Mus musculus: one gene and its partners. The protein of the gene in region 7 purifies or fractionates together with the protein of the main gene of each other region. This does not show direct contact. Links are inferred from orthologs where the notes say so. Each region holds a gene or a part of one and is shown on either strand. Other genes may lie near its edges. The genes, in order: Vangl2, Peli2, Dact1, Vangl1, Csnk1d, Itch and Dvl2.

Region 1 (3,500 bases), on a different chromosome or scaffold from region 7:
TATGTATTAAAATTTTTTTTTTTTTTGGTTTTTTTGAGACAGGGTTTCTCTGTATAGCCCTGGCTGTCCTGGAACTCACTTTGTAGACCAGGCTGGCCTCGAACTCAGAAATCCTCCTGCCTCTGCCTCCCGAGTGCTGGGATTAAAGTTTTACATCGTGTGGTGCGGAGTCTTTTCCTAGGTCTGCTGGGATACGTGGCCTTCTCTGCAGCTCAGTGCCTGAGTGTCATTCTGGATTTGATGCTAGGCTCGTTCACTTTAAGTCCCTAGTCTGGTACCGCTGAGTACGACTGTGTCTTGCTGCTTATGAGGAAAGAGCCCCCTGTGTCTCTTAGCGCTTGGCTCCTCACGGACTTCCGTTACTTCGGGCAGAGTACAGAGGCCTGACCTGACTCTGGCTGCAGCAGTCAGAGCCAGTGGGTAGAGGGTAGGATGAGCAGTGAGCACCTGCTCCAGAGACTACCTGTCCCCCAGGCTCGTGGTGGCTGTGGAGGAGGCCTTCACGCACATTAAGCGGCTGCAGGAAGAGGAGCAGAAGAACCCCAGGGAGGTGATGGACCCCCGGGAAGCAGCCCAAGCGATCTTTGCATCCATGGCTCGTGCCATGCAGAAGTACCTTCGCACCACCAAACAGCAGCCTTACCATACCATGGAGAGCATCCTTCAGCACCTGGAGTTCTGCATTACCCACGACATGACGCCCAAGGTAGGCCTGCTGCTTCCAGCCCTTCCTCTCTGTCCAGCTTCTTGTCTCTGTTGGTCACGGCTGTTTCTCCTTCCCATTCTTTGCCTCATTTTTTTTTAAAGATTTATTTGCTTTATGTATATGAGTTCACTGTAGCTGTTCAGGTGTTTGTGAGCCTTCGTGTGGTTGTTGGGAATTGGATTTTGTAGGACGTCTGCTTGCTCCATCCTTGCTTGCTCACTCTGTCCCTGCTCCCCCTGGCCCAAAGAATTATAAATAAGTACACTGCAGCTGTCTTCTGACGCACCAGAAGAGGGTGTCAGATCTCATTACAGATGGTTGTGAGCCACTGCGTGGTTGCTGGGAATTGAACTCTGGACCTTCGGAAGAGCAGTCAGTGCTCTCAACCGCTGAGCCATCTCGCCAGCCCTATCTTTACCTCTTCTTGAGAATTTCCTTTCCTGTCCCCATTCCATCTGTCTTGTCTGTGCAGAGTGGAAGAGGCATGGGGAGACTTTGGAACTATTCGGGGGATTTCAGAGGCCTCTTTCTCATTTTTATAAGGCCCTAGAATTTCTACCTTCCAAGTCTTACACCTTTACCTTGCTGACCCCTTCATCCCCAAAGGAAGATTTTGCCTCTGCTGACTTTTATCGATTGGCTTACCTCAACCTCGTTGCCAGCTTCCTATAATGGCGCTCTCGGAGCCTTCCTTGTTGAGTGGGTGATAAAGAGACTGGGAATGTAGCTCAGTGGTAGATCAGGCCTGAATTCTTGATTTCATTTACCAGCAAAACAGTGTGTGTGCACATGGATGTACACACACACACACACACACACACACACACACACACACACACACAGAGTGTTGCACTTGAAGCTTTTCTTGGCCCACTTCCCTCTTAGTGTAGGCCTACATGGTTCTAGTCATATCAACTGTATGAAAGGGAAGGAAGAAGGAAGAATGAGGTTCAAGTAGCTCTAGCCACAGCCTGGTGCAAGGAACAGGGTGAAGGATAGGGGTGAATTCCAGTCCTGACTGGAGCTGTATCACTTCTGTGCATGTCATTGTCCCCATCAATATATTAGGAGTCTCTGGCTGTCTTCTGCACTCACATTTGAAGATACCAGTTCATGGGTATAGAATGAGCTTAGAAACACCCTAGCTATCTTAGAAAGCTGTGTCACAGAGGATGAAGGGTGGGTGGGTGCACGAGATGCCCCAACAGTATCTTCTCCCTTCCTCAGGCCTTCCTGGAGCGATATTTGGCTGCTGGACCCACCATCCAGTACCACAAGGAACGTTGGCTGGCCAAACAGTGGACCTTGGTGAGCGAGGAGCCGGTGACCAATGGGCTTAAGGATGGCATCGTGTTCCTCTTGAAGCGCCAGGACTTCAGCTTGGTAGTGAGCACCAAGAAGGTGCCCTTCTTCAAACTCTCTGAGGAATTTGTGGATCCCAAGTCACATAAGTTCGTCATGCGGCTGCAGTCGGAGACCTCTGTGTGACTTTTGCAGCAGCCGCGGAGGAGGGATGTGGGGGGTTCCTGCGGAGTGGGAGGGGCTTGGTTCTCTGGCCCTGACACATTTCTGCCAGTCCTACTTCCTCTTGCTCTTGTTTGTTTTTGTTTTTTGTTTTTTGTTTTTTTTTTTACTTGAATTAACTTATCCTGTACCCAGTCTCCCCTCTTCCTCAGTTTTTCCCATCTGGAAATCTGGAGATAAATCTTGTTAACAATACCTGGGAACCACCCTGCCCTCCAATTTTGTATCACTCCAGGCCCTGCAGGAAACAGTGCCTCACAACTCTCCCATCCCCCCACCCCATTCTTCCCCCGCAAACCTTCCCTGGATGGAAGCATTCAGGGCCTTCCGGATTCTACCCTTGCCTCCTGAGCTCCAACTTAGAAATGTACATTCTTAGAGCCGCGCTCTCTAGTGGCCCCTGATAGAGTTTCTCTTGGGGGCACAGCTCTGACCCTAGAGGACCATGGTGCCAAACTCCTGTGGGACAACAGCTAATCCTATCCTCGGTCCCTACGCTTAGCCCTGAGTCCCTGGGCAAGGATGCACCTGTGACATAATCCCAGAATTAGGATTCTCTCTGCAGTCTTGCTCGCCAGTGTTACAGCTGTGCTTCCTGGTACACACACACACACACACACACACACACGGACACACACGGACACGGACACACACACACAGCACCTCACAGATACACACACTCACACACACACACACACACACACACACGGACACACACACGGACACGGACACGGACACGGACACACACACACACACACGGACACGGACACACACACGGACACACAGCACCTCACAGATACACACACACACATACACACACACACACACACACACACACAGAAACATAGAAGAAGGGGAAGTGCAGTCTTCTACTCAGGAGTCTTTACTGCTGTTTCTGACTTGTATGGTCATGTGATCATAGGCAAACAGAGGTGGAACCTCTCTGACCACTTTACCAGGGCTGTGGGGAAGGTGTAATGTGTCTTTCTTAGACAACTCCCGAGAGGAAGGGCAGGATAGACCCCTGAGGTTGGAGAGACCCTTGTCACTGACCTCACTTGTCCCTCTGAACCCACTGACCTGTTCTTCCCCACCCTTCCCCATGAAGGATACATGTTGACTTCTTAAGGACTCCATGACATGCAGACCCTGACCAACCTTGGGGTCGAAGACATTTTGTGTTTTGCGCCAGCTACCACAGTCCTGCTGAATTCGGGCTCCGAGACCTGTGGCCTCGTCTCTTATGGGGAGGGGCCAGGAACTCCTTCTC
Region 2 (4,084 bases), on a different chromosome or scaffold from region 7:
ACAGAGGATTTGTACAATAAGCCGGATAGCTAGTTGTCTTTAGTCTAAGAATAGACTTTCTGTAATTAGCGGAAATAAGGTAATCGTCTAATAAAGTTTATTTTTGGCTCATCAATAGTGTGGCTTTTGTTATTCTGGAGTAATTTATCTCCAAAGCCTCAATTAAAAGAAGAAAAGCCAGTTACTAACTGAAGTAAAATTACAGAAAGCATCATGTCACTACAGTAATAGCCTGTCAGAGAGCGATACATGCACGGCGCTGAGCAGTAGAATGGAAGGTTACTCATGCAATTATTTCTTTTTTAACTCCTTACTTAGAGTCATAGCCTAAACGTGTGTGTATGTGTGTGTGTGTGTGTGTGTGTGTGTGTGTGTGTGTGCGCGCGCGCGCGCGCGCGGGCACACACACACACACACTCTCGATGTTTATACATTGGGTAGCTTTTGCAGTATTTATTTCTTTAAATATTTAACAGTCTGGAAAGGCAGTGACAGGCAATAATATGTAGCGTCTCTAGCATGTTGCAAGGGCTTAATAAATGCTAGAATAATAAATTCCTCTATGATGAAAAACAGCAGTCAGTAAAACTATCACAGCCTACAATATTTTAAAGACACAGCACCATAAGAAAGCATAAAATACAAACAGTGCCTTGATTAATCCATGGAAATAAAGGAACATTTGTCTTCATTTAAAAAAAAAAAATCCACCTAGGTAATTTCCTTTTAAATTCCCCAGGGGGTTGAAAGAAGGGACAGAGATGTGAATAAGGGATTAAAAGTAACTTTTAACTTTTCTTTTTCCCCTTTCCCTCTCCTCCCTCCATCTCTCTCTCTCTTTTCTCACCCCCCCCCCACGTTCTTTCTCCTTTCTCTTGATACATGAAATGGTGGGGAGCCCTTCAATTAGCGCCCCCCCCATGGGCAGATTCTTTCTCTTTTTAAGCCCCCCTCTCAAGGGCTTGGCTTTGAAAGCAGACACCCCCAGATCAGTGCGCTCAGCATGGTGAGCTCGGAGGTGGGGGGTGGGCAGTATGCTTGGCTTTCACGCAAGCGGGGTCCGGATCCCCGGGCTGAGGACGAAGACCCCCACGCTCCAACTTTTCGGAGGAAGAGAGGAGAAAAACAGAGCTGCCCCTTTAAGGGCTTGCCTTCCCCTTTACTCTATGTTTACATAACACGGGGCGCTCGCGGGCCGCGGGGGCTGGCGGGCGGGCGGGCGGGGGCCGCGGGAGCGCGGAGACGCGGGCGGCGGCGCGGCCGTCCCACCTGCCCAGCCCGCTCAGCCCCCCGGCGGCGCGCGCTCCTCCTCCCGCGGGGCTCTGGTCGCCGCTCGCTTTCCGTGCCGGGTCCCGCTCGTAGCGGCCAACGTACGGATAGCTCCGGGGAAGCCGGCGGGCGACGCGCACAGCCACGACGGAGCAGCCGCGGGACTGGCCGCCCAGCGCCCCGTTCGCCGCCGTGCCGTTCCCCGGCGCGCTCACCCCGTTTTCGGGATGGGAGTGTAGTGGCGGCGCGGACTCGGCGGGGATCGCGGCGGAGGCGGCAGCGGCGGCGGCCGAGCGCGGCTCCATGTTTTCCCCGGGCCAGGAGGAACCCAGCGCCCCCAACAAGGAGCCGGTGAAATACGGGGAGCTGGTGGTCCTGGGGTGAGTTGGGGACGCGGGCGGCGGGGCGTCGCGGAGGGAGAGGGATGCGCTCCTGAGGGCCCGGGTCCCCGGGGTGCTCGTTGCCGCGGCCCGGAGGGCGCTCCTGCACCACGCGGGGTCGCTCGGTGAAGCCCGGAGCCAGTGGCTACTGGGGACTTCTCTTTCCCGACGACCGCGAACGCGGAGCCCTGTCTCCGAGCCCAGAGCCCAGTCCGCGGGGGTTACGCATTGTTCCAGTCTGTGACCCGGGCCGCTGGTTGGCCTCCGCTTTTTGCGCCGGGAGTGAGCTCGGCCGAGGGCCTGGACCGGGTCCTGGTTTTCCCGGGTCCTCTCAACAACGGTTCCCGGATCTCCCGGGTTTCCATTCTCGAGTCTCCGCACCCCTTGATCTCCTTACCCCTCGGGCTCCTGCACCCCTCGGGCCCCGGCCTTGCCGATGCCCTGCCAGCGGCGGGGAGCTCGCCACCCTGCCCTCCTCGGCTCCCACTCCGCTGGTGAAAATCACATTTTGAAGATAGTAATTATCTACAATCGTTAAAACGGCAGCAATTAGAGACTTCATCTACTTCCTGAGTTTCCGTGTGACATTTTCTATTGTTTACCCTTAATAAACCAGGAGGGAGGCTTCGCAGGATTAAAGCAGGGTAAAGTGGGCAATGAAAAGGGTGTGGGTGGGGGGAGGTGGAAAGTGCAGGAAACTCTTGGAGCTGGAGCAACTTGGGTAGTGCTGCAGGGAAAGGATTGGTTTCCCTTTGGATGTGCCGCTCCAGGGAACCCGCGCTTTTGTCCTCTGTTGAAAGATCTGTATTCAGACCCACGCGGGTGTTGATGGGTGGGCTTAGAGGCACGCGAGGAAGCCCCCCTCCTCACCCCTAAGCAGAGGCTCTGGGAACTTTGAGAAACGTGTTTTGATTACTACCTTGAAGTAAGTGCCGACTTAATTTTTTTTTAAAGACTCATCTAAAGTTTCCTAGCCTTCAGTTTGTTGCAAGCCTTTCTGTGTGTGTGTGTGGGGGGGGGAAGGTAGTACTGGAAAGATCACTGCTTATTTGGAAGCTCAGCAGATGAGCGCCTTCCGCACCTGCATGGGAATTGCATGCACTTAAGAGACAGATGTCAGAGTTCGCTGGGAAGAGGAGGGGTGGGGAGGTGGGTGGGGGGAAGCCACAGTTTAGTCTGTCTTATGTAACTTCAGCTCAGCCTAATTTTGTGGAGTTTGGTTTTGTTTATGTGGCTGGCTTCAGAGTATGCTTAACACTGTGAATTTGACAAAGAAGATTAACTTACGCCAGAGCCATTTCATTATTTCCTTTTGAGGCAATCTGTTGAGACGTTTCGGAGCAGTGTGGAATAAACCCGGAGAGGTTTGTGTTCATAGCTAAAAGTTTAGGACACTCCAAAGCCAGGAAAAGAATTTACACCCTGGACAGTTGTAATTTAGTGTCTCTGTAAACACCGTTGCCTGTAGCACCTGCTTCATCCTTCACTAAAGCTTTTCCTGGATCCATGATGGCTTAGTGTTTCTAACCTAGTAGCTGGAGGCAGGCAGGGCAGTTACCTGTGCTACCACATGGCAACACTGTTTGGACATTGGGTATCATCCAGTAGCCACAGAACACTTCCATTTTAATGTAGAACAAGACATAAGTAGAAACCCGAGTAAGTAAGTAGCAAATGATGTTTGGTGTTGTCACTTCTTCAACTGAAGTTGGTTAACAGTGGAGCCCTGCCGTGGTGGGGGGCTGGGGGGGAGATGTTGCTTCTTGCCAGCTTAAGGAAGACCTTTAAGGAAGAAAAATGGGAGTAGCAGATGGTTTTGTGTACGCCTGAATTGTGGCTGCTGCCCCCTCCCCTTCTTTCTTTCAGATTTCTGACTCTTGCAACATTGAGCACACTAAAGAGTACCTGGAAAGTAGTGAACTAGTTAGATTTTCACTAAGTCTTACACAGTTCTGCCCACTGGACTTGAGAGCATGTTGTCCCCTTTAAAATAGCAAGTGCATTTCAATGAAAAAAAAAAAAGTGCCATTACTGTGCATGCCTGGTCCTTTGGGACATCAATATTGGTGAGCATAGACTGTCTAGGAAATTTTCTTGATGAAATTATTCTTGAGGCTAAAGCTGCTCACTGCCTCTGATATTGTTAAAATATTTATTTTGTTTCATTGGAAAGTACAGTGACTTTATTTTAACTGCTGGGTGATTGTCCTTTCTTCTGTGTTCTGAATCACATGGTAAAATGTCACATAGGAAGTTTGGATAGCAAACTGTAAAGTTGATTCAGGCCTCGATGATCTAAGTACGGGTGATTCTTGTCATAGGTTGCATAGTAGGAGAGAATGCCATGTGGGATTGTAGTGGGGTTGTCACTTTCTGTCCAGTTAGTGGAGTTTAAATTATTTGTTAATTCTAACCAGTTACCGTGTCATAGTCCC
Region 3 (3,500 bases), on a different chromosome or scaffold from region 7:
TCCAGAGAATCTAGTCCTCTTCTCACCTCTGTGGGCACGGCACTCAGGTGCACTAACACATAAGCAAAGTTAAAAATAAGAGCACTCCTTTAAAAAAGCCTTGATATGTTTTGTTGATTTTTTTCCCACAAAGGATAGTTATGTTTAAATAGATTACATTTTGTATTTTTTTTTGTTTGTTTTTAAAAAAATACAAAAATGGCCACAGCAAGTGTCTTAAATATTTTAAAGAGAAACCAGAGGAAGGAGAGTAGACCAGAAAAAGAAAACAAAAAGTTCTAAGGTGCAGTTATTGGAAACAGATCACTTATCACACTGGAAGGGTACCGTTAGGATTTTGATGTGCTTAATGTCAAGAGTTTGTTTGCATAAAATTTTATCCTGATTGATATCATGATTTTCACTAAGCTTCATGAAGTGTTCCCTTACATTATTCAGTAGTTTCAGAGCATTATGAATGGCTATTTTTTTTTTTTTTTTGGTCAAAATTCTTGAATAGTGCTTGCTGTCATTCAGTCATCCATGTGCTTCATGTAAGCTTGCAGAGGAACCAGTGTGGACTAGTTCTCGATCCTTTGCTATTCTGTCTCCATCCAGTTCACCTTAGTAAACTCTGGCCAGAGTCGAAGTGGCTCTACCGATTCATTTCTTCAGTGTATCTTTACATGTTTTTCAGATCTCATAGGATGGTTGGAATGTAAAGGCGGCCCCTGTGAAGACCAGGCCTCAGGGACAGTGTGCAGTTCCCCCTCCACACCACAATTTAATTCCCTTGATGTCATTGCAGATGTGAATCCTAAATACCAGTGTGATCTTGTGTCTAAAAACGGGAATGACGTATATCGCTACCCCAGTCCACTTCATGCTGTGGCTGTGCAGAGCCCAATGTTTCTCCTTTGTCTGACGGGCAACACTCTGAGGGAAGAGGAGGGGCTTGGGAGCCATGCCAGCGACATCTGCATTGGATCTGAACTGAACGCCACCAAAACAGACAATTCCCTGCCATCTCCAAGCAGTTTGTGGTCCGCTTCCCATCCTGCATCCAGTAAGAAAATGGATGGGTATATTTTGAGCCTCGTGCAGAAGAAAACACACCCTGTAAGGACCAATAAACCTAGAACCAGTGTGAACGCTGACCCTACCAAGGGCCTTCTGAGGAATGGAAGTGTGTGTGTCAGGGCCCCTAGTGGCGTCCCACCGGGCAGTAGTGTGAACTTTAAGAATACAAAACAGATGTGTTTGCCCGCTGGGGGAATAACCTCTTTGGAAAACGGGCCATTCTCCCCTCCTAAGCAGAGGTCCAAAGACTCAAAGACAGACCAGTTAGAAAGCAAGAGGTTGGCTCTGCCGGAGAGCTGCTCGGCAGGCGCCGCCATGGAACCCCAAAGCAAGCATGTGCCCAAAGCCGCCAAGGCAGCCTCTCAAGAGCTCACAAGGTGTCAAGCCGGGCTGGGGGAATCCATGAAGGAAAGCAATCAGGCCTCCGCTGTTTCTCCTAAAACAAGTCCTGGCAGAGGCCCTGTCGCCCCCGCAGAGAGCAAAGCCCTGCAGCTCCCGAAAAAGATGTCGCAGAAGAACAGCCTCCAGGCTGTGCCCGCGCTGGACAGGCCGGCCTTGGACTTCAAAAGCGAGGGCTCATCTCAAAGCCTCGAGGAAGGGCATCTGGTGAAAGCTCAGTTCATTCCGGGGCAGCAGGCGGCCGCCAGGCCTCACCGTGCACACAGGAACCCGGGTGTCGCAAGGAGCGCCACCTTGAAGGCCCGCGGCCAGGCAGCCATGGAACACGGCCTGCCCACCGTCAGGGAGAAACCGCGGGCAGCAGGCAAGAAGTGCCGTTTCCCAGACGACTCGGATACAAATAAGAAATTCAGGAAGACCTCCGCCAAGGGCCGGCGCAGTGGCGGGCTGCAGGACGCTGGCCTTCCCGGTAGGGCCCTGGGCACCGGCGGCCATCGGGCGGGTAGCAGGGCGCACGCGCATGGCCGGGAGCCCGTGGTGGCCAAACCGAAGCACAAGCGAACCGACTACCGGCGGTGGAAATCGTCAGCCGAGGTCTCCTACGAAGAAGCCCTGCGGAGGGCCCGGAGGGCTCGCAGGGAGCACGGGGCTGCCTACCGGGTGGCTGTCGCCCTGCCTTACGCCAGCCCCTATGCCTACGTGCCCAGCGACTCCGAGTACTCGGCGGAGTGCGAGTCGCTCTTCCACTCCACGGTGGTGGACACCAGCGAGGACGAGCAGAGCAACTACACCACCAACTGCTTCGGCGACAGCGAGTCCAGCGTGAGCGAAGGCGACTTCGTGGGCGAGAGCACCACCACCAGCGACTCAGAGGAGAGCGGGGGTTTAATCTGGTCCCAGTTTGTCCAGACTCTCCCGATTCAAACGGTCACGGCCCCAGACCTCCACACCCGTCCCACAAAAACCTTTGTCAAAATCAAGGCTTCGCACAACCTCAAGAAGAAGATCCTCCGTTTCCGCTCTGGCTCTTTGAAACTGATGACTACCGTTTGAGTAGCTGATGTAGCGAGTGTCTTCTCCTCCCCCTAGTCTCTGAGAAAAAGAAAAAGGTGTTGTCTTAATATTTGTGTCATACTTAAATGGAATACTTTCCTTTCACTAGGATAAACCCAAGATAAATTATGTCTCGCGGTCATGTATGGACGCTAGTGCCTTTAATGGAAGGTGAAGGATGTATCTCTAGTTAGAAGTGAATATTGAGGTCTTAGTGGTGGTGATAGTGAATGCATTTTGATTATCAGATGTTTCGTCCGAGTGTCTGGCCAAGTACAGGTGTGTGATGTTCAAGTTTTATTTGGATGAGACCTTTTGTTTCCAAGGTTCGTGGATAAAATTTTTAAGCCGTGAACTCGCTCCTTGATCCTTTAGGGCTTTGTCCCTGAAAGGGCTTTCCGGTTGAGGGGCATTGCATACAATTGTGTAGAGTAGGTAGAAAAAACAAACAAACAAACAAAACAGTCATTGCTTTCTGTAAATTTTTTACTATAGACAACACTCTCAGATGTCTCTCCATCCTATTTTCTTCTTAGAAGTACACTTTTTACTGGATTTAGAACTTAGTAGACCAGACTTTTAATCTGGAGGTGGTAAACTGGATAGGGAGACTGATAGGACCTTAAAAGGATTCACAAAAACCTTTGCCACCTGTAGTGCCTCCGCCTTCGTTACAGTAGCCCTTTCATGGGCCATATATCCAGCAGTTTTTGATGCCTTTCTATCTCTCTGCTCCTAATTTGTAGCCAATACAACTGTTTGTCCCTTAGAGGGCTTGTCTTTGGGATAAAGTGTTGGTCCTTTGGTGCAAAGAAATTCACCCTTACTGGGCTTGACTCCAAGCCCAGAATTGCTCTCACCAAGCACTGGCCTGAACAGTAGTGCAGTTCAACCCTCACCGGACCGCTGACTTATCTGGAAGGGCATTACATTTTTTAAAAAAGCTTTTGGTAAACAGTATTGTGTAAAATAGAGTTTTTAAAATACTG
Region 4 (3,500 bases), on a different chromosome or scaffold from region 7:
TAAATGTAGACAAACATTTTTTTCCGGGGGAATGTCAGTTACAGTCTATATATGTGTATATATATATCAAGTTCATCCACTTGGAGATTTTGGTATTGGAAACTGTAGCTGTGTTTCCTGCCTCCTGCTGGGAACACTTTAGATTGAAAGTCCTCGGAAAGGAATGTTTTTCAAAGTCTGAGCTGTTTACCAAAAGACTGCGATGCTCTCAGGGCTTTCGGCCTAGAATACTCCACCCTGGCCTAGAAACGTATTCAGCCTAGAGAGTCAGCTATCTGGGAGCTCCTCTCTAGTCTCTCAGTCCTGGCCAGGAATGGCAACCAGAAGCTGGAGGCAGACTCACCAAGTCAGAGGCCAGTTTCATTCAGGGTGTCAGATGCTTAAGTGTGAGAAACAGGACTCCCTCTTACGTCTTGCTGGGCACCTGGGCTAAGACAAGAGCTTTGCAGACTCCCAGAGAGATTCATGTTGTCAGTAAGACATCTGGTTTACATAGGTATCAGTTTTTGGTATTAGTGTTCAAATATTTTTTTTTTTTTTAAATTTGGCTATGTGAGGGGTATGACTGGTAAGCCTCACCCTTGATTGGGAAACTTAGTTCTCTAAGGCACCCAGAAGAAAGCATTAGGTCCTGGCTGTGTCTTTGTGATAAGCTAAGTTGGGTCATGCTCAGGGTGATACGGGACTTGTAGGTCGATTCACAGATGGGGCGGGGCGTATTGCGGTTGCTGGGCTTTGGTGTTGGGGGAGATAGCACTCGGCTTAGCTTGTGTTCCTGTGTGTGGTCACTGTCAGTGTCCCTTGACTTCTCTTTTCTCTGTCTGTCCTTGTTCTCCCATCCTGCCCACTCTCTCTCATTGTCCGCTGTATGCGATGTCCCAGCTGCCCTTATGGCCAAACTGAAACTTTGTGTAGCAGATGGTAAGTGACCTCTTCGGCACGCTCCGGCGGGTGTTGTTCTTGGCCGGCGTTTTCAGGGGTGAGCAGTTGGCAGCCCCTTCAGAGTTCTTTTTCCATTTCCCCATCACACTGGGGTTAGATCTCCTGGCTGCCATGAGCGTGGAGTACTGCGCAGGCCCAGCCAGGGGTGCTCCGTAGGGGCGTGGGTGGGCGCTAACTAGCAGACCACAGACCCTGGTGCTGCTTCTCGGTCCCATTTCCTGGCGTTTACCGTTAAAGCTATCTACCTTTCTCCTTTCATCAAAGGGCCTAGTAATAACGCCACTGGTCAGTCCCGAGCCATGATTGCTGCAGCAGCTCGGCGCAGAGACTCCAGCCACAACGAGTTGTATTATGAAGAGGCCGAACACGAACGCAGGGTGAAGAAGCGGAGAGCAAGGTCTGTGACCCTTGCACGCCTGGGCCCTCCTCCCGCTGAACATTTTATTCTTACTTAAAAAAAAAAATTTTTTTTAACTTCCAGAATTAATTTTCTGTTTGTACGCATGCCCTGGATGACTGTTTTCAGACCACGTTACTCTCACGTTTCTCAGACTTTGTGTGTAATCACCACCAGACATACCTCTAAACACCCATCACAGGTCCTGGGCCCACTTACAAGGCTTACCACGTGGTCTGTGGGCCTAAGCCTGGGCCTGGGAATCTGCATTCAGAGCAGATTTCCAGGGGGCATCTGTGGCTGCCCTTGGAGGGGGCAAGACCCACCCACACCATTTCCCATGTGAATGGAAGGTGACAAAGGTGGCTTCCCTTAAGCCTGTCACCTCATTCTTCCCCTTCCTGAGTTGCTGGGGGGCTGGGGGGAGGGGTAAGTGGAACAAGGGGACTAAAGCTCTGCTTGCTTGCTTTTCTTTTCTTTTTCTTTCCTTTTCTTCTCTTTTCTTGTCTTTTCTCTTCTTTCTTTCTTTTTTTGTAGCCTAACCAGGCCTTAAACTCTCTGTATAGCTGAGGATGATATTGAACTTCTTTTTTAAAACCTTTTTAAACATCTATGTGTGTGTGTGTGTGTGTATGTACATGTGTACATGTGTGTACATGTATGTGTGCATGTACATGTATGTGTGCCTGTACATATGCCACAGTGAATATATGGAGAGCATGGCTTTTGGGGATTGGTTCTTTGTCTTCTCTCACACGAGTTCTGGGGGGTCAAATTCGGGTTGTGAGGCTTGGCTGCAAGCACCTTTGCCCTGAGCCATCTTGTCAGCTTGGCTTCTCGTGTGGCCTCCACCTGCTGAGTGCTGGATCAGGAGCGTGTGCCACCACATGAGGTGCTGGGGATTTGTCCCAGGTCTCTGTGGTACTGGGCAAGCCCTCTGCCAACTAAAGCTACCCAAGCTCTGGCTCTTTAGCAGCTGTGTCTGCACGCTCGCTTTCGCTTTCCCGATGGAGTGTGAACAGAAGTCTTTATTTCGCTTTTTAAAAAATTGGATATTTTATTTATTTACATTTCAAATGCTATCCCCTTTCCTGATTCCCCCAACTCAGAAGCCCCCTATCCCTTCCCCCTCCTCCTACTTCTATGAGGGTGTGCCCCCACCCACCCACCCACTCCCACCTCCCTGCCCTTGCATTCCTTTACACTGGGGCATTGAGCTTTCATAGGACCAAGGGCCTCTCCTCCCATTGATGCATAACAAGGCCATCCTCTGCTACATACACAGCTGAAGCCACGGGTCCCTCCATGTGTACTCCTTGGTTGGTGGTTTAGTCCCTGGGAGCTCTGGAGGGGGAGGGGGATCTGGCTGGTTGATATTATTGTTCTTGCTATGTGGTTGCAAACCTCTTCAGTTCCTTCAGTCCTTTCTCTAACTCCTCCATTGGGGACCCTGTGATCATCAGTTCAATGCTTGGCTGCAAGCATCTGCTTCTGTATATGTCAGGCTCGGGCAGAGCTTCTCAGGAGACACCTTTTATTGAAGAAATCAAAGCACAGGTTAAAGTGAGCTTTCTGAGCTCATTATTGGCAGAACTGGGAGGCCCAGCGATACCACCCACCCACTCCCATCTCATTTCTGCTGTTGCTTCTCTTCTCCCAGGCTCTTTCCATCTCCTAGAGGGATACAGTATGACAGAGCCTTGGGGAAGTTGGTGGTAGGCCAGGGTGCTTCAGTCAATAAAGGCCCTCTGCATCTTATGGGACTGTCCCCAGACCCTGCAGTGGGCGCTGCCTTGCTGACTGTCCCGAATCTCCTTCCAGACTGGTAGTGGCTGTGGAGGAAGCCTTCATCCATATCCAGCGTCTCCAGGCTGAGGAGCAGCAGAAGTCTCCCGGAGAGGTGATGGACCCCAGAGAGGCAGCCCAGGCCATCTTCCCCTCCATGGCCAGGGCACTGCAGAAGTACCTGCGCACCACACGGCAGCAGCACTACCACAGCATGGAGAGTATCCTGCAGCACCTGGCCTTCTGCATCACCAACAGCATGACCCCCAAGGTGCGCTGCTAGGTCGGGGCTGGGGCAGAAATGTCCCTGGGTTTGGCCGGTCACATGACATCCCATGTCTCCACTGTTGCTCACCACGTTATTTAAGACTTACTT
Region 5 (4,119 bases), about 51 Mb from region 7:
TCTCCAAACCGTCCTGCAGACCTGCTTTCCTAGCCTATCTTATTCTGAGTCACTCATTTCACATTCAGTTCCCCAAAGGGGTATCTTGAAAGGACAGTAGGGCTGAGAGCTAAGCAGAGAAAGACTGGCAGTGCTTAATCCCCTGACAAAAGGCACACTGTAGGCCTAGCATGTTGGCACTCAGAAGGCAGATCTCTGAGTTCAAGGCCAGCCAGGGCTACATAGTGAGACCATGTCTTAAACAAAACAACAACAACAAAACTCACACCATGACAGACAGATAAGCCAGTGATTCTAACCCTAGGATCCAGTGCCCATCTTGGAGCACAACAGAGGAGTCACCAAATTAAACCTTTCTGGAAAAGGTTAGTTCATGTGATCAAACGCTGTGCCCAGCCTGTGTCTAAGCCAGCCCCCAACCACCCACTTGTGGAAGACCCTGAGCAGGATATGCATCTGCGGGTTCAAAACAGTCTTTCAGCCTTTGTCTTGTCCCTCATATCCTGCCCCATGCTCTGGATGGAGGTGGGGAACCAGGTGGGGCAGTAGAGATGTGACTAAGTAAACTGCAACCCCAGACACAGCTTGCACTCTCCTGGAGAAAGGTTCCCATCTCTGAATGACACATGACTACCATAGCACAACTGGTTGTTATAATCAATCTTCAGAAAGCACAAAACCTTTTGGCAAGATCTCAGGGAACAAAAAGTTTCAAAATACCTATTTTCTGATGCCCATGAAAGGGTGGCTAATGGATTGGTTTTCAGTCTAGCTCCTATATCCTGAGGTTAAACTTCTGCCAAAATCTATTGTTCTATAAATACGCCAAACAGCTCCAATTTACCCAGCACTTTGACTCCCAAACATTGCCGAGAAGGCATCTGGCTCTCTACTTGGTTATAAATATTTAAATAAGCAAATCCTAAGTATCTCTAAAGCATATTTTACTCATCAGACCACTCTGGCAAGAAGTTCGGATTCAAAGGCACTCATGTGGCACATAGCAGGCTTACCCTGTATGCTAACCAGGCACCATAAATACTTCTGAACTACCCAAATGGGCCAGCTGTTCACCCCACACCACCAGCTATCAAGGTCCTGTGAGGAGTCAGAGTGCAAGTTCATAAGCTTGGGAAGACTAGAAGGCCGGCCCAAAGCACAGCTTCTTCCTGACTCTCCACTAGAGGTACAACAGCCAAACAAATGCAGGGATGGGCTACTGCTCAACAGAATATGGTTACCTCTAACAGGAAGTTCACCACCAGAAGGCTCCAAGTTCTCAAGGGGCTTTGGAATAACATAATTCTACTAAGAAATGCAGGGGGAAGTTTGTATTTAAAAATCCCCAACTATCAGGTTTAAGCAACCCTAAGCAACCCTCATGTCTACCTTGAGAATTCTGAGAGCCATCATGAGAACTTCCTTCCACACCACTTCTCTCCCCTCTGTTCTGCCTACATCTCGACATTGAATGCATCTGCATTCATCAAAACTTCATTCCTGTTGATTTCCGGGTGTCCAGTAGTCAACTTAGATGCTCAACATATCCTCAAGACCCCAACCAAACCAAGGCCTTTCAGGCCAGGCACAGGGAACATTTTCAGTCCTGATTTGGAGGAGAGTGGCAGCCAGGAGGCTATGGGTGATCCCTTTAGCGGGTCAGCTAAGTGGAGATGCCATTGTGGAAAAGAGCAGGCCCAGACTGCTCCAAGAACCCTCAGAAATCAGCCGGTCGTTTCCCCCATTTCTGACCGGGACACTCCCCACCTCCACACTACATCTGGCTTATTTTGACATTTCTCCCCCACACATGAAAACATCCAGGACGCCACTGCAGAGCTGAGGAACAGCACCAGACCCTTGGCGGAGCAGAGCATGGCCTTTGTTTACTGCGGTGACCTTAGGTGGGGGAGGATGCTGACGCCCGGCCCAGGCCCTGCCCCCTCCGGGCCCCACCCCCAGCCTGCTGCCCTCCCCTGCCCCGCTCTCCCCTCCCCCTCCCCGCTGTCCCCCCCCGGCCCCCGCCCCCAGTCCTTTTCCCACGCCCTCTGACACCCCACCACCGAGGCCCGCTGGCCCCCGCCTCTAGGCCTCCTTCTTCCTCTCCCGGGTCCCCGACCATCCCCAGACACGCTCCGAGCTCTGCCCCCCGGCCTGCAGTCCCCAAGACCGGCCTGTCCTTCCAGCCCTTCCCCGCACCCCACCCCGACCCGCCGCGCCGCGCCCAGCCCCCCGGCCGCGCTCGCACAGCGGCCGTTGGTGTCTGGCCGAGGCCGGTGCCCGGGCCCTCGGCTGCGGGGATGCCGAACGTCCACTCCGGCCCTCCGCAGGCCTCGGCCTGCCGGGGACCCCGCCCGCCGATCCGCAAGGCCCCCGGGCGCTCGATGGCGCCGGGCCTCACCGAGATAGATGTCTCCGAAGGAGCCGCTGCCGATCTTGCGGCCCAGTCGGTACCTGTTCCCGACCCTCAGCTCCATGGCAGCGGTGCGGCTCGCTACTGCCCGCCCGGCCGCTTCCTGGGTCTGCGCTCCGGGAGGCGGCGCCGCTGCTGCCGCTACTGCGGGTCCGGTCCGACTCCGCCCCCCTCACGGCCCCGCTTTCACCATCGCTTTCCGGTCGCCCCGTCGCTCTCAGCGCCTCAATACGGGGCGGATGGGACAGTCCGAGCGCCGCCGCCGCTGCTCCGGCCCTTGCCGGCCCCGCTCGCCCTCTCCCCGCCGCGGATGGACTCGGATCTTCCGGGCCTAAATCCCCCTTCAGCTGCCTAAAGGAGCCGCCGCCATCGCGCTGTGACGTCACTTCCCCTAGCAACCCAAGGGGGCGGGGCCACCGTGCTCGGGGGCGGGGCTTGGCTACTTGATGGATTGCGCAGTCGCAACCAGGCCTGTTTCTCTGTCCCAGTGTCCACCGTTCCCGCAGGATGACTCCAGCTGGTCTCTTTGGTCTTCCCATTTGTCTCCAATAGAAGTCCGAGGAAGCTAAGCCATGTGTGGTAAGAAATGCCTGTAGTTCCAGCCCTTGGGAGTTCGAGACCAGCCTGGGCTATAGCGACCCTGCCCCTAAACAGGCAGAGAGAAGCCGAATAGCAGTTCCTTTTGTAGACCCCGGGAAAGGCCCTTTACAGATAGGGGAAAAGGGCAGAGAGGGCGGTCCAGGCCTAGCTCTGAGATCACAGGTAGACAGTTAGCTTTTGTAGGAATCACCAGTTGTGGGCTTTGAATGGTGCAAAACGTGCCTGCTGCTGCCTGCCAGCTTCTTGCACACAAGGGTGGAAGAAAAGAGGTCTTCCTGGGACCCACTGTGGGCAGGAAGGTCAGTGTTGAGTTCACTGAGGGTGTAGAGGGTATGTCTCAGACTCTGATCGCTCTCCAGGGCTGTCTGCCTGGAGAGAGAGTCAACATTTTTATCTGGTCTGCATTGGATCTGCATGTTCCCCTGGCAAACACAAACATGAATTCTGAAGTTCAGGCTGACGGCCAGCTTCCAAGACTTGGCTGTCCATTCTGACCACTGAGGAGGGACTCTGGAGGAGCTACCACACAGGAGGTGCCCCCTAACCAGGAGGGGACAACCTTCCAAATAGATGCTTTTCTAGGCCCACTCTCACCCAGCCAGAAACACGAGAGTCACAGATGAGTGTAATGCTTCTATTTGGTCAGCTAGCACCCGTAGCATCTGCACAGGGTATCACGCTGCATGACAACTCAGCAGCCCTGCAGAAGCACGTGGAGCTGACATGTCTTCTAGTCTCCCAGCTCCACCACCCTTCCTTTTGGTGGTCCTGCAGTGCCTGCCTGCACACAGTTGGCAGTCAGGTTGGGGAGCATTACACAGCCGGAGACAGAAGACACCACAAGGCAAACTGAAACCAGTGGTCACTGAGCGGCAGGTATGGGAACTGCCTAGCTTTTTAGTCCAGGAGTCAGAGCCAGATGCGGCCAAACTAGTAAAAATAATCTTACTGACAGAATTCAAGTATAATTTTTTTTCTGTTGATGAACAATACCTAACTTCATCTGAGAAGCCCCTATATTGAACTGAAAACAGCAAACCTGGTATCTGGCCTAACCTCTCTCTTACCAACCTCGGGCCTGATCTTTGCCTAGCGGTCTTCCCTCT
Region 6 (3,438 bases), on a different chromosome or scaffold from region 7:
GTTGTCCATCTGCCTCTGTCTCTTGAGTGCTGGGATTAAAGGCTTGCATCACCACAGCTGGACTATCATTTCTTATTCTAACATGATATACCTAAAACCGCCTTCAAAATCTGAAGTGTTTCATGTATGGCCATTTACAGTAAGATTGCTGACCACTGGTCTACAGTGGGTAGTTGGGACATCATGAGAAGACTGGCATTTCCTGAGGGTCTGCTAAGCACCTGCATGGTGCTGTGTGCTTGTTTCTAAGTCTACTACAGGGGTGGGTATTGCTCTCCCAGTTGACCAGAGAAGACACTGGCATGAATCTTGGAAAGGTAAAAGGCAGTTGCTTGAAGGCTGCGTGATTCAAGGGCACATCATCAGACCTCTGAGGTGCAGCTGTGGGGCACTGCCTGTGTGCATCTTTGTATCTTTCCTTTTCTCAAGCCAACAATTCTTTCTTTCAGTTTTAACCGCCTGGACCTCCCACCTTACAAGAGCTATGAGCAACTGAAGGAAAAGCTGTTATTTGCCATTGAAGAAACTGAAGGATTTGGACAAGAGTAATTGTTTAGACCTTAAGCCACCAGAGGCCAGGGACTTGTCTGCAGTGTCTGTCCCCTTCCTTCTCTGCCTGTTGCACATCTTATTGTAAACTTGGACTGTGACTAGAGAGTTACCTGAGAGTAAGTAAATTAATGTTATCGTTGAGATCTTCCAGTCATTCTGGATTTCTACTCAACGTTTCCAGAAAGCAGATCTACAAACTGTAGTCAGAAACTTAACATGAGATTTAACACAGCGAGGAAATTTCCCTCGTCTTATTCCACTAGATTGTTCCCTTAACAACAGTTTGCTGTATGTCCGAAGTCTCACTTGGGCATAGGTCTCTTAGTGGGTATTGTAAAGGATTCTGCAGGGACATCTCGGAAACGCAATACACAAGGTCTTCCTGTAAAGCCTCGCTCAGAGGTGCAAGCTTAACTCAGTGTCTGGGCACATGAGCAGCTGCTGCTTGTGCTCTCCGCTCGTCCCAGCCTGGCCTGACTGTTGTTTTTCATTCCTGGAGCATGAATCAGTGCACCATTCTGATGCTATTCCTGGAAGTGATGCAGGACTTGCATTTTTCTACAAAGTAGTTTTGTCTATTTGAATTCAGGGAAAACTTGGTCCCCGCCAACATATGACCATACCTCTCTTCATTCAGTTTGTAATTGTTCTATTGCCTTGCAAATACTAAACTTTACAAACAGTATCAGCACTGTGGTTCCTTCACGTTTTTAGAAATTAACCTAGAATTAAAATAAGTTCAGATGAATTCATCTAAGATCATTCTTGATTTTTTTAAATCCTACACATAAATTGAAGCTTTATGGTGTTGAAGTAATCCAACACCTTAGTTACATTTCATTTTTGCTAAACTATTCAAGTTGCAACCATTTCCTAACACAAATGGAGGTCAGTGGTGCAGACTCTGCAGTCACAACAGCGTCCAGCAGCCACACAGCTGCGCTGTCTTCACACTCCACTCCTGACACAGGAGCAGCCGTGTCTACCCTCTTACATGGTCCTGATCTACAATATTTTTCTCTCCCCTAAAAATTGTAGATTTCCCTTTTCTTTCCATGACTCCTTTATCTTAGGCTGCTCCTTTAGTAACTGATGAATGCACTTTGACCTTCTCTGTAGGTCATTTACCTTGGCTTAGCATTAGACTGTGAGGATGGTTGCTGCCCAGACTTTATGGGCAGCAAGATGAAACCTCAGCCAGGTGAGTCCCTATTGTAGCCAAATCCCAAAATTAGCCTTATTTCTCTAATGGGGACCTTGAAATGTGTTGGTGGCATAGCATAAAGCCAAGAACACCAAGTGTGACAAACCCCTGTCCCATAGGAAAGAAAGTGTTTCTGTGTCCCTAGCTGCTCATCCTGTTCTCATCCTGGGACAGTTTGAACTCGTGCAGCTGTGCTCCTTAACACTGCCATCCTCAGCAGAGACGTGACAGACGGGTTGCCTCATGAAGAAGTGATCAGTGAAGGGAGAGCTCGGCTCCTCCCCAGCCCTCTTTTTACCCTTATACCACAAGAAATACATGTCATCTCTAGAAGCCCTAGTTCTTTCCAAAGTAGGAAATCTCTGCCTTTTTGTTGGTAGGGTTAAAAAAAAATGTATATGCTAATTGCTTTGTCTTACAGAGCGAATGTCTGCCAACTATCCATTCACTACATAGGCCTGAACTTTGGTAATAAATGGCTATAAATATTAAGCCTTCTACAAAGACTTCCTATTGAATCCAATTCTTGTACTAAAACATAGTTATCTACCATATTCACTAGAGATTTATGAGATTAAATTAAGAGATAATGTAAGAAAATAGACTTTGTTGATTCTGCATAATGCTTCATGATTCATTTAGGGACCTAGAAATATTATGTGAAAATGTATAAATATCATCCAAAAGGCTTTCTGCCCTATATTTTTAAAATACAGAAGTTATATTTGAAGTAGTCCTGGCCCTAGTTCTATAGGGCTTGGCTATTTAATATTTTTATGGAAGAAACGTTTAGTTCTGGAAAAGGTAAATGCTTGTATATATTTTTGCAGCCCTGGAGTCTCCCAACTCCATTTCTTCCTTTAATTTAATTGATCACATGTATATGTCTTCCCTGCTGTGTTAGAAAAACGGGGGCTGGATATCCCAGGAGTCAGAGCGTATATAAGACAATGCACCTAAACAGCAGGCACATTGACCAGATGCTCTCAAATTTTGGTCCAAAATGAGTATTTGGGAATAGATTTATTGTGAATGTTTAATTAGCGATTTTCCTTAAATCTGGATGGACTAAGTTGCTTTTAAGACCTTTTTCTCTGTAAGCATCGTAAATGCTAATCAACCTGTTAAGTTTTTTTTTTTCTTACTGCATGTTACATTGAAATAAAAACAGAGTAAAATGAGCATTTGCCTTTTCGTCTGCTCTTTTGGTGGGTTCCACAAGGGTCCAGATGGAAGAGCTCGGGGCTCTCGTCCAATGGAGTGATAGAGCTGACAGTTGTGAACTCCTTCGCCTTCTACCATCTTCATGTGCAGAATTCAGTTTCCTAAGACTTAGAGTAACTGTTAAAATTGGGGTGCAGCCAGGCGTGGTGGCGCACGCCTTTAATCCCAGCACTCGGGAGGCAGAGGCAGGTGGATTTCTGAGTTCGAGGCCAGCCTGGTCTACAAAGTGAGTTCCAGGACAGCCAGGACTATACAGAGAAACCCTTGTCTTGGGAGGAAAAAATTGGGGTGCTGACTCCTCACCCAGGGGTTGGCTTATCTGCCCACAGAGCTCTCACCCAGCCCTCTCTGCCACGTTTTACTTATCTGGTTAAATTACTTGACATGTTATCAGGGTAATATTTTTGCCTGTTTGGGATCTAAATTTCTTTAAGATTCACTAATTCTTTGCAGTACTG
Region 7 (3,500 bases):
CACAGTGGGTGGCCTCTTCTCAGGTGCTCACCCACATCTGCTTCATGCTCTAGTGTGGAGTGACATGCCAGGGAGATTTGCAATTTGTGGGTTTTGTTCTCTTTTGAAAGACGTATTTGTTTTTTTTTATGTACGTGAGTACACTGTCAGTCTCTTCAGACACACCAGAAGAGGGCATCAGATCTCATTACAAATGGTTGTGAGCCACCATGTGGCTGCTGGGAATTGAACTCAGGATCTCTGGAAGAGCAAACAGTGTTCTTAACTGCTGAGCCATCTCTACAGCCCTTGTTTTGTTTGGTTTTTGTTTTCTCGCTATGTAGACCCGGATGGACTGAAACTCACTCTGCAGACCAGGCTGCCTCACACTCAGCCCAACTGTGCCTCAAATAACATGTTTAAAGGCATGCACCACCATGCCTGGCCTCACGTCTTTATAAAAATTGCAAAACAAAGGTAAACAGGCTTAAGCCCAAGAGGCCTGGGGCCAGCCGCACTCACCCTGGCTTGTGCACGATGTCTCTCAGCACTCGTACAGCATCGTCGTTGCTCATGTTCTCAAAGTTCATATCATTTACCTGAAGGGAAGGGGTGGTGGGTCATGGGCAGTGTGGGAGGGGCAGAGCATCCGCCCCAGCCAGCAGCCAGGCCGTCAGCGCACCTGCAAAAGCATGTCTCCAGGCTCGATCCGCCCGTCCGCAGCCACCGCGCCCCCTTTCATGATGGAGCCGATGTAGATGCCCCCATCACCACGCTCGTTACTTTGGCCCACAATGGAGATGCCCAGGAAGTTGTACTTCTCTGTGGAGGGGGGCCATATGACTGAGCCCCAGAAACCCCAAGCCCCTCTCTCTCCTTCCCTTCTCCCCGTCAGGACCCTCCATACCCATGTTGAGCGTGACCGTGATGATGTTGAGAGACATTGTGGAATCGGTGACACTGCTGAAGGATGAGGTCTACAGCGGGGAGACATGAAAGGTGTGAACTGCTCCCCGTCAACAGAGAGAGAAGCCACAAGCTTGTGTTTCAACCAGAGCCCACTTCATCCCAAAAGAACCCTCACCCTCTCCATGCGTGGCGGCCGCTGCTTCCTTCGCCTTCGGTGGCGCTTGAGGAGGCGGGAGGCACTGCTCTGCTCAGTGGAGCTGCTGAACCTGATAGCAATTGAGAAGCATAGCATTTGGAGGTGGAAGTGGTCAGGGAGCCACATGAAACAAGAAGACTGGCTGGGGGGGAGGGGGAGGGGAGGAGGGGGGAGGAGGGAGGGAACAGGGAGGGAAGTGTGCAGCCATACCTACTCATGGTGTCATCCTCATCCGAGTCTCCTAGGCTGGTACTCTCCAGCTCACTGGTCATGAGGGTGGAAGAGCTCTCGTAGCCAGCCAGGTGGCGCTCCAGCCTCGAGGGGCCACCAGGCCTGTGGCCACCAGCTGTGTATAAACAAGAGACTCAGGAGCCAGGCCTCCCCTTCTTCATACCCAGCATGCTAAGGCTTGCCTGTCTGCCCAGCTCAGTCTACCCTGCCTCCAGGGTCCATCCCCTCACCGCCATGTTCACTGCTGTCTCTCCTCCTAGGTCGGTCTCGCCTCAGTGATACGACAGATTCGGTCTCTGTCTCAGGCTCTAGATTTTCATGGCTGCTGGATACATTAGGGCTACACAGGTAGAGAGAGTTTCCAACCAAAGTCAGTCGGACAGAGCACCGGAACCTCAGTCCCCCTCTCTCAAGAGGTCTAGACTGAATTCCCTCTTCGCTCCCATCCCCTGGACTCAAGAATATAAAGGACTCACTGGAAGGATGGAGGCCTTGAGTCCCCAATTCCACTGGTCCTTTCTGGTGGCAAAGGGGGTAAGGGTGGAGGCGGAGGAACCAGTTCTGTCCGAGACTCATGGGCTGGGGGAGCCACCTCAGGCTGTGGGGTATCTGACGACACAAGCTAGAAGAGAGCACGTAAGAAAACATGGTTCTGCTGGGGAGCGGTGTACGAGAAGAAACTAAGGAAAAGGACCAGAAAAGAAGGACACAGGGTCCTGGAGACCTGGGTGAAGAGGCCAGAAAAAACAATCCAGTACGGGAGGCTATAGGAAGAGGAGGCCGAGGAGTGCTCACTGTATCCACATTAGAGAAGAGGGAAGCCAGGCCACCCGCGACTGAGCAGGGGGGAGGCTGCAGAGACAGACTGAGGTTGGAAGCAGCTCAGTAATGAGTCCCCTTACCCAGGAGACAACCCTTCCATTGAAGCAAGGTAGGCGGGCATTGTCATCGGAGATCTCTTCCTTCACCACCCTGCGGAGAGAGCAGAGTGATTAGTAAGGTGCCAGGTGTGATGGGGTACACCTTCAACTAACACTTGGGAGGCCGAGGCAAGAGGCACTCAGTGAGCAAGGGTTTCTCTTGCGCGCACACACACACACACCACACACACACACACACCCTAGATGGGCGGTGGTGGTGCATGCCTTTAATGCCAGCACTCTGGAAAGCAGAGGCAGGTGATCTGAGTTTGAGGCCAGCCTAGTTTACAGAGAGAACCAGGACAGCCAGGGCTCCACAGAGAAACCCCATCTGGGGGTGGGGGTGGGACAAACACGGGGATGGGGGAGATTAGTAAAGCTAAACTAGTCACTCCCATTCCAAATCTCATTCCAAGTCTCTCCCCATCTCCATCCTGCCCAAGCATGGTGACTTGCTGCCCTGACTGACACGTCGTCTGCTTTTCCCCTAATGTATATGTACATGTCTGTGTGCATGGCTGTCACATGAGGGTATTTGCAGAGGACAGGAGAATATTATCTCCCCTGGAGCTAGTTACAGGGAGTCAGGAGCCACCAGTGGGTGCTAGTGCTAAGAACAGAACACAGCGGCATCCTCTAAGCCAACTGTCTATAGACTTCTGCCCTTTTTTTTTTCAGCAGCGGTAGCGACGACCAGGCTGGCTTCAAACTCACAGAGAGCTGCCTAACTCTGCCTCTCCATCCTGGTATTAAAGGCATATGTCACCAAACTTGGCTATGCCACTCAGCCAGCATGCATCACCATGCCCAGCTCCTCTGCTTTCACAGTGAAGTAACTTGCTTTTATACACAAATAAATAAATAAAAATTCTAGACTCTCTCATTTACCACTACCCCAACTCATCCTTAGAGGCACAATGCCACTCCAAAGACTTCTTCCCATTTGATCCAAACCTCAAAGTACCACTCCAAAGTCCCTTTGGGACAGTTCCCACAACTGCTCCAAATATCTAATTTAAGAGCCTGGCTGGCCGCCTAACCATCTCTGTCCTACACATCTGTCCCATAAAAGCCTCTGGTCCTCACGGAACCTGCTGCCTTTGAGTTCTCTCTAATTCACAAGCAGAGCCACCCAAATGTGTGGCTTTTCTGGGTAAAAAATCACCCTTACATGCAACAATAACAGTCCACGTGTGGAACGCTCCCATGGAGCGAGGAAGCTGGGCTTCCCAATTCCGGGCCACCTCACCTCACTAAGCAATCTG

The links.
Region 1: the proteins of Dvl2 (region 7) and Vangl2 purify together in Homo sapiens (affinity purification with mass spectrometry; 4 studies listed by BioGRID and IntAct, with this or other methods). This does not show direct contact. The link is inferred for Mus musculus from reciprocal best matches to the Homo sapiens genes DVL2 and VANGL2.
Region 2: the proteins of Dvl2 (region 7) and Peli2 purify together in Homo sapiens (affinity purification with western blotting; 3 studies listed by BioGRID, with this or other methods). This does not show direct contact. The link is inferred for Mus musculus from reciprocal best matches to the Homo sapiens genes DVL2 and PELI2.
Region 3: the proteins of Dvl2 (region 7) and Dact1 purify together in Homo sapiens (affinity purification with western blotting; 3 studies listed by BioGRID and IntAct, with this or other methods). This does not show direct contact. The link is inferred for Mus musculus from reciprocal best matches to the Homo sapiens genes DVL2 and DACT1.
Region 4: the proteins of Dvl2 (region 7) and Vangl1 purify together in Homo sapiens (affinity purification with mass spectrometry; 4 studies listed by BioGRID and IntAct, with this or other methods). This does not show direct contact. The link is inferred for Mus musculus from reciprocal best matches to the Homo sapiens genes DVL2 and VANGL1.
Region 5: the proteins of Dvl2 (region 7) and Csnk1d purify together in Homo sapiens (affinity purification with mass spectrometry; 3 studies listed by BioGRID and IntAct, with this or other methods). This does not show direct contact. The link is inferred for Mus musculus from reciprocal best matches to the Homo sapiens genes DVL2 and CSNK1D.
Region 6: the proteins of Dvl2 (region 7) and Itch purify together in Homo sapiens (affinity purification with western blotting; 4 studies listed by BioGRID and IntAct, with this or other methods). This does not show direct contact. The link is inferred for Mus musculus from reciprocal best matches to the Homo sapiens genes DVL2 and ITCH.

Annotation. Positions count from the first base shown.
Region 1 is NC_000067.6:172,003,296-172,006,795, reverse strand, and holds part of Vangl2 (vang-like protein 2), read left to right. Parts: intron 1-474; coding exon 475-706; intron 707-1,933; coding exon 1,934-2,194; 3' UTR 2,195-3,500. UniProt on the Homo sapiens protein: Involved in the control of early morphogenesis and patterning of both axial midline structures and the development of neural plate. Plays a role in the regulation of planar cell polarity, particularly in the orientation of stereociliary bundles in the cochlea.
Region 2 is NC_000080.6:48,119,585-48,123,668, forward strand, and holds the start of Peli2 (E3 ubiquitin-protein ligase pellino homolog 2), read left to right. Parts: upstream 1-1,284; 5' UTR 1,285-1,572; coding exon 1,573-1,649; intron 1,650-1,817; exon of another isoform or gene 1,818-2,293; intron 2,294-2,322; exon of another isoform or gene 2,323-2,574; intron 2,575-4,084. UniProt on the Homo sapiens protein: E3 ubiquitin ligase catalyzing the covalent attachment of ubiquitin moieties onto substrate proteins. Involved in the TLR and IL-1 signaling pathways via interaction with the complex containing IRAK kinases and TRAF6.
Region 3 is NC_000078.6:71,316,384-71,319,883, forward strand, and holds part of Dact1 (dapper homolog 1), read left to right. Parts: intron 1-676; coding exon of another isoform or gene 677-787; coding exon 788-2,511; 3' UTR 2,512-3,500.
Region 4 is NC_000069.6:102,163,194-102,166,693, reverse strand, and holds part of Vangl1 (vang-like protein 1), read left to right. Parts: intron 1-882; coding exon of another isoform or gene 883-921; intron 922-1,206; coding exon 1,207-1,339; intron 1,340-3,160; coding exon 3,161-3,395; intron 3,396-3,500.
Region 5 is NC_000077.6:120,988,534-120,992,652, forward strand, and holds the start of Csnk1d (casein kinase I isoform delta), read right to left. Parts: upstream 2,801-4,119; 5' UTR 2,478-2,800; coding exon 2,402-2,477; intron 1-2,401. UniProt on the Homo sapiens protein: Essential serine/threonine-protein kinase that regulates diverse cellular growth and survival processes including Wnt signaling, DNA repair and circadian rhythms. It can phosphorylate a large number of proteins.
Region 6 is NC_000068.7:155,223,918-155,227,355, forward strand, and holds the end of Itch (E3 ubiquitin-protein ligase Itchy), read left to right. Parts: intron 1-449; coding exon 450-549; 3' UTR 550-2,938; downstream 2,939-3,438. UniProt on the Homo sapiens protein: Acts as an Acts as an E3 ubiquitin-protein ligase which accepts ubiquitin from an E2 ubiquitin-conjugating enzyme in the form of a thioester and then directly transfers the ubiquitin to targeted substrates.
Region 7 is NC_000077.6:70,003,592-70,007,091, reverse strand, and holds part of Dvl2 (segment polarity protein dishevelled homolog DVL-2), read right to left. Parts: intron 2,288-3,500; coding exon 2,218-2,287; intron 1,938-2,217; coding exon 1,792-1,937; intron 1,656-1,791; coding exon 1,546-1,655; intron 1,431-1,545; coding exon 1,295-1,430; intron 1,155-1,294; coding exon 1,064-1,154; intron 957-1,063; coding exon 887-956; intron 802-886; coding exon 662-801; intron 579-661; coding exon 502-578; intron 1-501.